Linked DNA regions of Tribolium castaneum. The main gene of each other region encodes a partner of the protein of the gene in region 3 in a complex. Links are inferred from orthologs where the notes say so. Each region holds a gene or a part of one and is shown on either strand. Other genes may lie near its edges. The genes, in order: Hou, glucose-induced degradation protein 4 homolog and armadillo repeat-containing protein 8.

The links.
Region 1: the proteins of armadillo repeat-containing protein 8 (region 3) and Hou are in contact, whole or in part, in a cryo-EM structure (PDB 7NSC), measured with the Homo sapiens proteins. The link is inferred for Tribolium castaneum from reciprocal best matches to the Homo sapiens genes ARMC8 and GID8. Residues at the interface, in NP_001350870.1 of Homo sapiens: Asn45, Val47, Ile48, Gly49, Asn50, Val85, Ser89, Met92, Arg127, Arg130, Arg161, Tyr162, Tyr166, Leu200, Ser201, Tyr202; in NP_060366.1 of Homo sapiens: Ile83, Ala84, Asn87, His90, Pro91, Glu92, Leu94, Asp95, Thr96, Tyr101, Tyr183, Glu184, Asn185.
Region 2: the proteins of armadillo repeat-containing protein 8 (region 3) and glucose-induced degradation protein 4 homolog are in contact, whole or in part, in a cryo-EM structure (PDB 7NSC), measured with the Homo sapiens proteins. The link is inferred for Tribolium castaneum from reciprocal best matches to the Homo sapiens genes ARMC8 and GID4. Residues at the interface, in NP_001350870.1 of Homo sapiens: Glu309, Pro310, Asp311, Val312, Asn371, Glu373, Arg406, His409, Arg413, Ser414, Val415, Gln416, Arg419, Thr420, Gln423, Asp424, Val444, Ser448, Cys451, Asn452, Leu455, Phe457, Ala483, Val486, Asn487, Trp490, Met493, Asn494, Phe497, Gln498; in NP_076957.3 of Homo sapiens: Leu104, Ile105, Pro106, Pro107, Pro108, Pro109, Ile110, Gln114, Pro115, Gly116, Val117, Ala118, Thr119, Gly125, Gln146, His147, Tyr154, Cys156, Tyr158, Phe174, Glu176, Phe239, Val241, Pro242, His244, His292, Ser293, Ala294, Pro295, Ile296.

What each region holds. Positions count from the first base shown.
Region 1 is NC_087398.1:12,054,384-12,058,514, forward strand, and holds the start of Hou (glucose-induced degradation protein 8 homolog), read left to right. Parts: upstream 1-1,228; 5' UTR 1,229-1,328; coding exon 1,329-1,446; intron 1,447-1,492; coding exon 1,493-1,689; intron 1,690-1,736; coding exon 1,737-1,934; intron 1,935-4,131. UniProt on the Homo sapiens protein: Core component of the CTLH E3 ubiquitin-protein ligase complex that selectively accepts ubiquitin from UBE2H and mediates ubiquitination and subsequent proteasomal degradation of the transcription factor HBP1.
Region 2 is NC_087399.1:1,123,989-1,127,269, reverse strand, and holds glucose-induced degradation protein 4 homolog, read left to right. Parts: upstream 1-1,387; 5' UTR 1,388-1,451; coding exon 1,452-1,598; intron 1,599-1,788; coding exon 1,789-1,956; intron 1,957-2,157; coding exon 2,158-2,454; 3' UTR 2,455-2,768; downstream 2,769-3,281. Other genes in the region: ENGase (cytosolic endo-beta-N-acetylglucosaminidase), read left to right, coding at 1-30, 82-199; U6 snRNA-associated Sm-like protein LSm7, read left to right, coding at 624-650, 705-1,019; Rab40 (ras-related protein Rab-40B), read right to left, coding at 3,178-3,281.
Region 3 is NC_087394.1:22,526,214-22,529,408, forward strand, and holds the end of armadillo repeat-containing protein 8, read right to left. Parts: intron 1,690-3,195; coding exon 1,008-1,689; intron 956-1,007; coding exon 919-955; 3' UTR 550-918; downstream 1-549. UniProt on the Homo sapiens protein: Component of the CTLH E3 ubiquitin-protein ligase complex that selectively accepts ubiquitin from UBE2H and mediates ubiquitination and subsequent proteasomal degradation of the transcription factor HBP1.

The DNA.
Region 1 (4,131 bases), on a different chromosome or scaffold from region 3:
TATATATGCTGTGTTTTTTTTAAATTGTTTATTATAAATTTTCATAAATCTTGTAAAAATTTTTGAACCAACAACACCTACTTCTTCGAAAGGCATGATGATTGTACTTAAAAAACGCAAAAAACCAAAACCAGATAATGTTTTTGCACGTCTTTTGACCTAATGTTATTATAAATTTCGTATTTTTCGCTCAGAAAGATTGAATCAGCTTCAAGATAATATAATATTCGATTGGATTTTCAATAGTTCGCATCAGGCCGCCAGTATGGACACAAGCACTTACTGCAAAAAAAACCAGCCCCGTTTTTAAAACTACAACAGTTATCTATCCCATGACTCCCTTTCGCAATATCCTGGGGACAGATCATAAAGGACAGCTGTTGGATTTTTTGGAAATGTCAATCTTAGATAAATATCAATTGCTAAACTGAAAAAGTGCGCTTTAATGAGTCATTTCGAGAATTCGTCAGTGGTCAGTTGAACCTTTTTGACTAAAATAAAAGTGTTTCAATTCAATATTCCTTATTTATTTCCATTCATTATCTCAATTTTGGTGTTTTTGATCTAGTAGATCGTCCAACATTACCCAGAGGGGTAGAATTCAAAGAAAAACTGAAGATGTGAGATGCAACAAAAACAAAGACAGACTCATCATGTTATGAATGAACATAATACACGTAATGATTGTTGTAAAAGTTGTAAGCATTTTGATTGGGCCGTTTGCGGTCGGCCATTAAAATTACGGAGAAAGCCAATCACTTTAGTTTTTTTTGATTCATTCAAAAATAATATTTTAGAATATGATTGGTCAGTTTAAGGTCGGCCATTATAATAAGGTAAGAAACCAATCACTTTGAATGTTTGGATTCATTCAATAATTTAATGCGAATGATTAGTTTTTAAGTCAAAATCGTGGTAAAAACACTGACAACAGCTCAACTCAGTTGCCACAATTTTTTTTATTTATTGTTTTTGTATTATTGGGTTGATTAGTTCCCTTTGCGACCAGAAACATTTTAATTTTTGAATTTGAGAAAATTTGGGTGATATTTAAACTGGCTGCGCCCTCTGGTAGACAGCGTCAGATAAAGCAACAACAAACAAAATCTGATAAGAAATGCATCACCTACAATTAAAAAAATATATTAGGAATACTTATTTGAGTTTATTGCAAAACAATCATAAAATGAGAAACAAATTTAGTAAGTTTGGGTGTGTGGATTGGCGGAACTGAGTCATTGACAGTAACAGACCGATGACAGTTCGTTTGTTAGACTAATGTCAAACCGTGTGTTATTTTTATGCCATAATAACAAAGAATCCAAGGGATGAGTTACACGGAAAAGCACGACGTGATGTCACGGGACGAGTGGATGGCCCTTCTTGAGGAGAACGAGATCGGCCGTGGCCAAATGAACAAACTCATCATGAATTACTTGGTGACAGGTATGTTGTCCCTTAAGGCACCAAAAACCTCAACTCGCGGTTCCAGAGGGGTTCAAGGAAGCCGCCGAGAAGTTCCAACAGGAATCGGGAGTAGTCCCCGCTGTAGATTTGCATTCTCTGGATGATAGGATTAGTATTAGGGACGCTATAATGAACGGGAAGATCCAAGAGGCGACGGCCTTAATCAACCAACTCCATCCAGAACTGTTAGACAATGACAGATATTTGTACTTCCACCTCCAGGTAAAGCACTGTGGAAGTCCACATCGGGGCTAATTTGACTCTTGCAGCAACAACACTTGATTGAATTGATTAGGAGTAACCGGGTTGAGGAGGCTCTAGCTTTCGCTCAGAGCCACCTCAGCGAAGCTGGGGAGGACGACCCCTCGGTGTTGCAGGAGCTGGAACGGACTGTAGCCCTTTTGGCGTTCGAAGACCCCTTGAACAGCCCTTTTGGCGACTTGTTGGCCCCATCTCACAGACAAAAGGTGCCCCCTTTTCAAAATTTACGCAAGCTAATGGGTGATATAAAAATTAAGTAGGTACTTTTAAGTATAAGATACCATTTACTTAAAAGTACCACTTTGAAATTGGCGAATTATCGCCTGAAAAGTTCGAACATTCTAAATATTATTAGTTAGCACCGATAGATTTCGAGAGTTACTGGCCTATTTAAAAAGCTTGTTTAGTGCTCGTTGGCAGAATTTTGGAAATAAAGAAACGGTTTTTTATAAGCCTGGACTCGCCCGGAATACTCCGGAATTAACGAACTTTTAAGTAGAAACGTTTGAGGATTCTAAACATTTAAAATGTTTTTATCTATGTCTGATAAATGTTTTGAGTAATACAAGGTGATTTACATGATTTTCTGACCCTGATACGAACTGTTAAATGCAACCAGTAATACATGTTTTGAGTAATACAAGGTGATTTACATGATTTTCTGACCCTGATACGAACTGTTAAATGCAACCAGTAATACATTACTCAATTAAAACTTAATTCAAAAACACTATTAATTATAAATTTGTTTGTGATTTGGATATCCTTGACAAACCTTAAAAAAGAGGTTATTGGTCCGTTTTATCCTCTATAAAATAACAACAGAGAACTCGCTTTCATAATCAGCTAACGCTTTGATCAACGTGGCATAATTTTAAAATTCGGTTAACCGACGACCGGTTTGTCTCCAAATTCGCCTCTAACTGATACATGGATTACTGTCTACAGCTTCCATAACTCTCACTATATTATCAGGATTTATTGCAGTCTGTGTTATTTTTGTTTTGGCCAATTTAGACACAGTTCAATCTCCAATTGTCTAAAAACTTTATTTTTCGAATTAAAGTTATATGAATCAGCCTCTATTTTTTTTTTATTAGAAAAATTTTGTATCTGCAGACGAATCTGTAACTAACTATTTACTCGGGTTTTTATTTGCTGTCTGGAAGACTTTAAATGTAGAGTCGGTATTTCTAGTTTCGTTTTGGACATCATAGTTCTAAAAAATGTCTTAAAACGCACCGAAATTAACGAAAAATCATCTTGAAATTTTGGATCTATCAAACTTTGTTACTTACAGCTGACAGTTTTCAGCTTATTAACGAACACACAAATGTGTTTCAATAAAAAAAATTAAAATGATAAATCGACTTTTGTGAGCCCACCGGATCATTATCATTTTCTTCTTTCATCAGGAAACACTTTCTGTCGAAAAATCATGAGTGATTTTATAAGTATATGCCAGTAGTCTTCAACCTTTTTACTTTTGCCTACAGTTTAAATTACATTTTCTTGGAACCCCAAAGCAAAAACCTATAATAATAGTATCTATGCATTATGTTAAACTGTTTTACCGAAAATAGTAAAAGTTCGTGTTGATATATCTACAAAATACATAATTGATTTTCTTTTAATGACAGATCATTATTTTTTTCTAAATTTAAATTTTGATATGGATTTTTTAATCCACATGTATGACAATACAGTTGACGGAAAAAAATGTTTCCTGCGAATAGGATAAATATTCAACATCATACAAACAATTTTTCTATAGCATCTTTAAAATCATTCAGTTTTTGAAAACATGTTAAATTGTTTCTATTTACATATGTTTTCCATAGATCAAGCTTCGATATCATTGCTCCAGTGCTGCTGTTAACTTTCAAAATATTTGATGTTATAATGAAATAGGTAGAAATAGTTACCTATTTCATTCAAAAGAAAAAAATGTGGCCAAGATAATAATTATGTCACTTTGTATCCAATTTCCAGAATCGAGCTAACGTTTCCACGAATTAGCCATCCTACTTTTAGGTATAAAAGTAATGCCTTATGTCTCACTACATAATTCCTCACAAAGTAGTTTAAATAACCGGAAATTTAAATAAATAAATAATTAAAAAGCATCACAGAACTCCTTATAGTGTTTCGTGGATCACATTTTGTTAGTTGTGTCTCTTTTATGAATAGTATCGACATGAGTAGAGTTTTATTTCTTTATGATTTTTAAGCATCTGCTAATAATACATAAGTATTAGCATCCGCTTATTGTTGCAAAACTATAAAAATGCCAACATCACATTTTCTTTCAAAATTAGGGGCCGGTTTATAGAAAGCTTCATTCATTAAATTTTAATTCGTAAAAATTAACAACGCGAATGGACCAACCAAGTTGCTTCAATT
Region 2 (3,281 bases), on a different chromosome or scaffold from region 3:
TTTGTTTCTACACGAAAATTTAACAATTGCGTAAGTCGGTCACACGTTTGGTAGGAAAAAAAAACTAATTAACTTTTTCAGTGTTTATCAGTTTGATTGTTCGCCGTGTACGTTATTGGAAATTGGATGTACGTTAGAGGAGGGAAAAGCGATTTATTTGTGCGGTCTTGGAGTCGAAGAGCACGTTCTAGTACTCTGACACAACTTTCGTGACCAACAGTACAAACAATTTTCTGCCATACTGTACATTTTGCCAGGGCTTGAAGCCCAAATAGTTAACATGTATTAATGCTTTAGTAACGCCCCAATGTGTAAATAACTTTTTTTGAATAAATGATAACCGAGAATTTTGCATTTTTCATTTGAAACTTTGTACCTCCACTGCGCAAGCAGTCCTCTACAAATTGTGTCCCAAAATTGCGTCAATTTTTACGTAATTCTTTAGAAGCTAAGAAAATTAATTACGAAATTGCTGGACTTTACAAACCGATAATTATTTTTTTTTATTTCAAAATTAATCGGAAGGTTCCGTGCGCATAGGAGACCATATGCACGCGTCACCTCCAAACGTATTCTAGGTTAGAATTTCAAAATCGGCAAAATTCCACAAATAAAGCCGAACAATGGCATCGTCAGGTGACAAATCAAAAGTACGTACCCCAAACTGCCCCATTTCGCCCCCTCAACCCCCATTTTTACCGTAGAATCAGAGCGGTGACCAAAAAGAGAAGAAACGTAAAGAGTCGATTCTAGACCTCTCTAAATACCTTGAAAAGACAATTAGGGTGAAATTTGCGGGCGGCCGAGAAGCTAGTGGTATTTTAAAAGGCTATGACCCCCTTTTGAACCTCGTCTTAGACAACACAATCGAATACTTGAGAGATCCAGACGACCCTTATAAATTAACAGAAGACACGAGGGCCTTGGGTTTGGTGGTCTGTAGGGGCACAAGTGTCGTGCTCATATGCCCCATGGACGGCATGGAGTCCATACAGAACCCCTTTATATCCCAAGACTAAGTTTTGTACCATAAAAATACCTCTAATTTGTAAGACGTTTTTTTGAATAAAACCGGTAAAAAATTAATAAAACTGTTTTATTGCACAAACTAGCTCAATAAATTAATTAGAAGTTTAGTTATAATGAGCGTAAGCAACCACCAATGCTTATAACCAAAAGTAATTAAAGCGTACACACAAAAAACGTGTTAATTACGCTTGAGATTAACGAATAATTGCCCCAAATAATAAATCTGGGTTGATTCAGTTGATTGCAAAAATGGGTTTTTCTGTCCAAAACTACGGTTGAGTACAGTCGCCCACACATTTAATGGCCCTGTTGCGCACCGAGCATGCGCAAAAACGCTCTGACCGACTCGGATGACTCACCGCCGCCATTTTCCTTTCAAAAAAGTGACATTGGTGACAGTTGAGTGCAAAAGTGCTTTAAAAATGCCGGTCAGGGTGGATATTACGCCTCCCCCGCCGGCCAATTCAAAACAGCCGGGGGTAACAAAGTCCCTCTTATACAACGGCTCCAAATTTCAAGGTTTCCAGAAATCGAAAGGCAATTCGTACGAAGTGGAAGTGGTTTTACAGGTTAGAAGTTGCAAATAATCGCACCATTGCCCCCCTTAACCAAAATTTCGATGACTTTGTACCGTTCGAACCCTTGTAGGACGTGTGACGTCCCTTTTGCTCACCGCTTATTTAAAGAAAACTAAAAATATCAACATATGCTAATGCAATCCGAAATGGCGGGAAATTTAAATTTCGCTCGTTTTTCCAGCACGTCGACGAGGAAAACTCCTATTTGTGTGGCTATTTGCAAATTAACGGGCTCACCGATGAGTATCCCACCTTGACTACGTTTTTCGACGGCGAAATTATCAGCCAAAAGTACCCGTTTTTGACCAGAAAGTGGGACGCCGACGAGGACGTGGACAAAAAACACTGGGTGAGCACCCAAATCTTTGTTTTTAGCACAATTTCAAAAATTACAAGTAGCCAAGCATCGCAGCTCACTATCTTATAATTATTATTTTCACAATCTAGAAGGCGCCAACCCAAATGTCAACTGTTAATGGACAGTCACAGCTTACTATCTTAATATATTTTTTTTTGTATAATTATTTTCTTAACATATCTCTTGTTGCAGAGCAAATTCTCGTCGTTTTCCCAATACGCCAAAACGTTCAATTCGGACAATTTCGATTATAAGGCGCTCGGCGACACCGACTATGTTTTTATGCGGTGGAAGGAGCATTTTCTTGTTCCTGACCATACGATTAAAGACATAAGTGGGGCCTCGTTTGCCGGTTTCTATTACATTTGTTTTCAAAAATCTAAAGCCACAATTGAAGGTTACTACTACCACAGAAGCAGTGAATGGTTTCAGTCGTTAAATTTAACACATGTGCCTGAAAATAGTATACAAATTTATGAATTTAGGTGAATTGGTTGAGTGAAAAACTTGGCTTATTTCAGTACTGCATGTCCTCGTTCTCTCTCTCTCTCTAGCGAAGTTGATTTTCACAGTATTTTTCAATAAGTGTACTAGTGAGCAGTATTTATTCATTATTTTTGTGTACATAATTATGGGTAGCTTGGTTTTAATTACTTCTTAAGAAAACGACTGGGTAATTGATTTAGTTTCACGTTTGATTTGTATAAATTTTTGTTTATTTAGCTTAAGTAGACTAAACAAGTCATTATTGTTATGTATATTGTGTATAAATGTATTAAATATATTTTTTTGAATTGTTTTTACCTTGCTGTTTCATTGGGGGTCGAGGAAAACACACCGTTAGAAATTATTCAGTACCAGCTATATTATTATTAAAATACACTTCATTAAACAAAAATAGGTGACACTATTTACGTAACATAAAACTGTTAGTAAAAAGTAATATAAATAAAGTAAAAAAAGTACAGGTTAAATTATATACAAATGATAGGTAACACAAAAATTATATACAACAACGTCCAACTCAAGGTGCAATACTGACTTATTCACTAAAATCCTGACAATTATTTACACTGATTACCCGAACTAGGACGGTTACGCAAAAAACTGCCTCAACTAATATTTGAAAAAATTACATTCTCTCCTTGATATGTCGATATACCAACCAATTTTGTACAATATCACAAAACCAAAACACACGTACAACAAATATCAAGATATAGTACATGAGTTTCTCGGCACACAACTCGTTCTCGTGTCGCTTCCCGGTGACGTTGGCGTACTTATAAAGCGTAGTTTACGTCCGTTGCTTTTTC
Region 3 (3,195 bases):
TAATTGTAGTTTTGTAGATTTACCAAAGTATTTCATGAGTTTGTCAGTGGAAAATTCTAACCTAAAATTCACACACTTTACTAATTTATTGGTTTCTTGAGCCCAACTTTGTGATCACTGTGATCCATTATTTACAGTCTGCAATTAGACAACTGTTTAATAACACTTTGTAATCAAATTTTATTTTTTTTTCACTTTTTATCCACATTCAAATTCCAACAATTAACACATTATACCGCAGACCAAGATTAAAACTAGTATTTACCACCACGTACAAAAGTACGTGATACTCTCTAATATAAGTATATAACACTATAGACGCAAAATTGTTAAACAATTCGTTAAATGTCAGTTAAATGTGGAATTACGAAAATTTCGTTACTGTTTTCAACATAGTTCAAGTCATCACCAGAGGGCGTCTAGTTAATTTTATTTCCGAATACATTTTGTTTGTAAATAAAAATTAAACTTAACAAAAATAAAAGACAGAAATGTTAATAGTAACTTTATTTTTGGTAATTCATACAGAATGCAATCCAAAAACAAACGGAAATAAATAATCTTTTATTGTTAATGATGCTGTAAATTAAAATCGATAACAAAAGCCAAAGTGTTGACTAAAAGCGTAAAGTTTATACAATTATCTACAAATTCATAAACCGATGCTAACAGAGTCAATATTTTATTTGTCATTTTCATCCTCTTCTCCAATTGTACCTAACTGACCTCGAATAAAAAGTGTCATGTGCTTTTAACCAGGATGTAAAACATAATAATTAGATCTTGGATCATATAATCAGCATCCTACAATAATTACAAATAAAATAATAATAAAAAACAAAATATACACTTGTCAGTCTACACATCACATTAATATCAGATAGGGGGATCATGTATCCTTAAAACAGTAAATAAACTTCATACATCATTATACTGCGTGAGCGCCGTTTTAACTCTGGAACAGAACGCAAAATCAGCTCGCCCTCCTTAACCAACCACCAACTCACCGATTGTACAGCATCGTATTAGAAGTACTCAACAACTGCTGGAGGATATTAACAACTCCCATCTCCTTTAACTTATTCTGCCTCTCCACAGAGCCCGGCTCTCCCAACCTCGACAAATTATCGATGCAGAAAACGGACGCTTGCTGCAAACAGGGCGCTGGGTGCGTCATATAGCCGATTAATTTCTTAAGTACGTCCTCGTTCGACATTATGTGCTCCCTGGCCTTCTCGCCGTCGGCGATGTTGCCCAGGATGCACAGCGCCTGCTCCTTCACTTCGGGGGAATACGGCCCCTCCAGCACCAGCACCACGCCCTGCATGACCTGGGGGCCGTGCAGCGACATCATGGTGTCGGTGTGCGTCCGCGGGGACACCAGGTTGCGCAACAGCCCCAAGGTCTTCATGAGGACGCGCGTGTCCGAGTCGCCCAGCAACCGGAAGATCTGGTCGGTGCCGAGGGCGGTTAAGATTTGGGATTTGACTCGTTGCTCTGCCCGAAACGCGAGATTCATTAGAGCCCAGACGCCGTTCAGACGAAGGGATGGCTCGGGACGGACGGTCAGGGTTGCCAACAACTGCACGACGCCTTGCTGGATCATGGGCTCTTTGGCGGGGGAGAATTCCAGGAGGAAGTTGCAAAGGGCGGACGAGGCGGCTGTGAGCAACTCCGTCGAAGGGCAACCTGAATGTCAATGTTTCTCTTATGGCATGGTCATTTATTGTTACGTAAATGTTAACGTTCTTATAAAAAGAAGTATAAATTCATAAAATTATAATTTTAATCACACTCAAATTATACACAAACTGTCCGTCTTCCAAATAGCGAAGATTATCAGTCTACACTAAAATGCAAATTAGGATTTCATACAACTCCGATGTTTTTAAAAGTGAAAAGAAGTGAACAATAAACAGCTTAAACGCAGGAAAACCTAATTTGCATTTTACTGCAGACTGATCATCTACTAAGCTGCATTGTTGTAAGAACTATTATTTTGGGCACTAAAAAACTACTTCCCATATGATTATTTTGTATTTCTTTAAAAATAAAATATGTATTATGCCACAATTAAATGACAAATTTATTATTTAGCAAATACAGGTGGTCCAGCTCAGCTACCGCGTTCTATAGCTCACTTATTATTAAAGTTGGAGGTTTGATATTTTGTAGATGGTATTTATACTCTAGGACACATTTCAGGAAAATATTTTTGACTGTACAGTGTCCCTAAAAAGTATGACGTCATAGTAATATCTTTTTTAATGGTAAGCTATTATTTTTTTGTACTCATTATGATACCTTTTTAGCTTCTTACATGTCCCTAATTTTTTTTAACTCGGTTCAGACATTACTGTTTAAAAAAATAAAAACAAAAAAATCGGTTTTACACCTTTAGTTTCAAAAATTAATAAAAAATAGAAACAGTGCTTGTTTGAAAACATTTTTACTACGTAAGTGTTAAGCAAGGTCTAACAGACTTATAAGTGAGTTTGGGTGATTTGAATTACTACAGTGTTTACAATTTATTTCCAAACTTTTTAAATTTTAGAGCCTTTTATTTTGCTTATTTTAAATGGCAACCCCTATTTTTTTATATCACTCGATGCAGAATTAAAAAACGATCAACTTATTATAATACAACCATAACATAGATCCTAACACATTCGGAGTTATTTGATAAAAACTTGTTTTGTCAAGAATTTAAGACACTTTTAATGATTACATATCGCAAATGGTTTCAACGCCGTTTACTTTTATGGTAATCGATCCAGAATTAAAAAACAAACATTTTTTGTTATAACAATCCTATTGCAAATCTTCACATATTCAAAGTTATTTGCTAAAAACTCATTCTGTTAATGACAAATTTCTTTAATGATTAAAAGTAGAACATGGTTAAGGTTTTTGGCAAATAACTCCGAATGTGTTAAGATTTACGTTAGGGTTGTAATAAAAAAAATGTTCATTTTCTAATTCCCCATCGAATGGTATAAAAATAAACAGGGGTTGCCAATTAAAATAAGCAAAATAAAAAGCTTTAAAAATAAAAAAATATTAGAAATAAATTGTAAACACACTGTAATAATTCAAATCAATCAAAGCCACTTAATATGTCAGTTAGACCTTGTTTAACACTTACATAGTAACAATGTCTTCAAAAAATCACTATTTCTATTTTTTATTAATTTT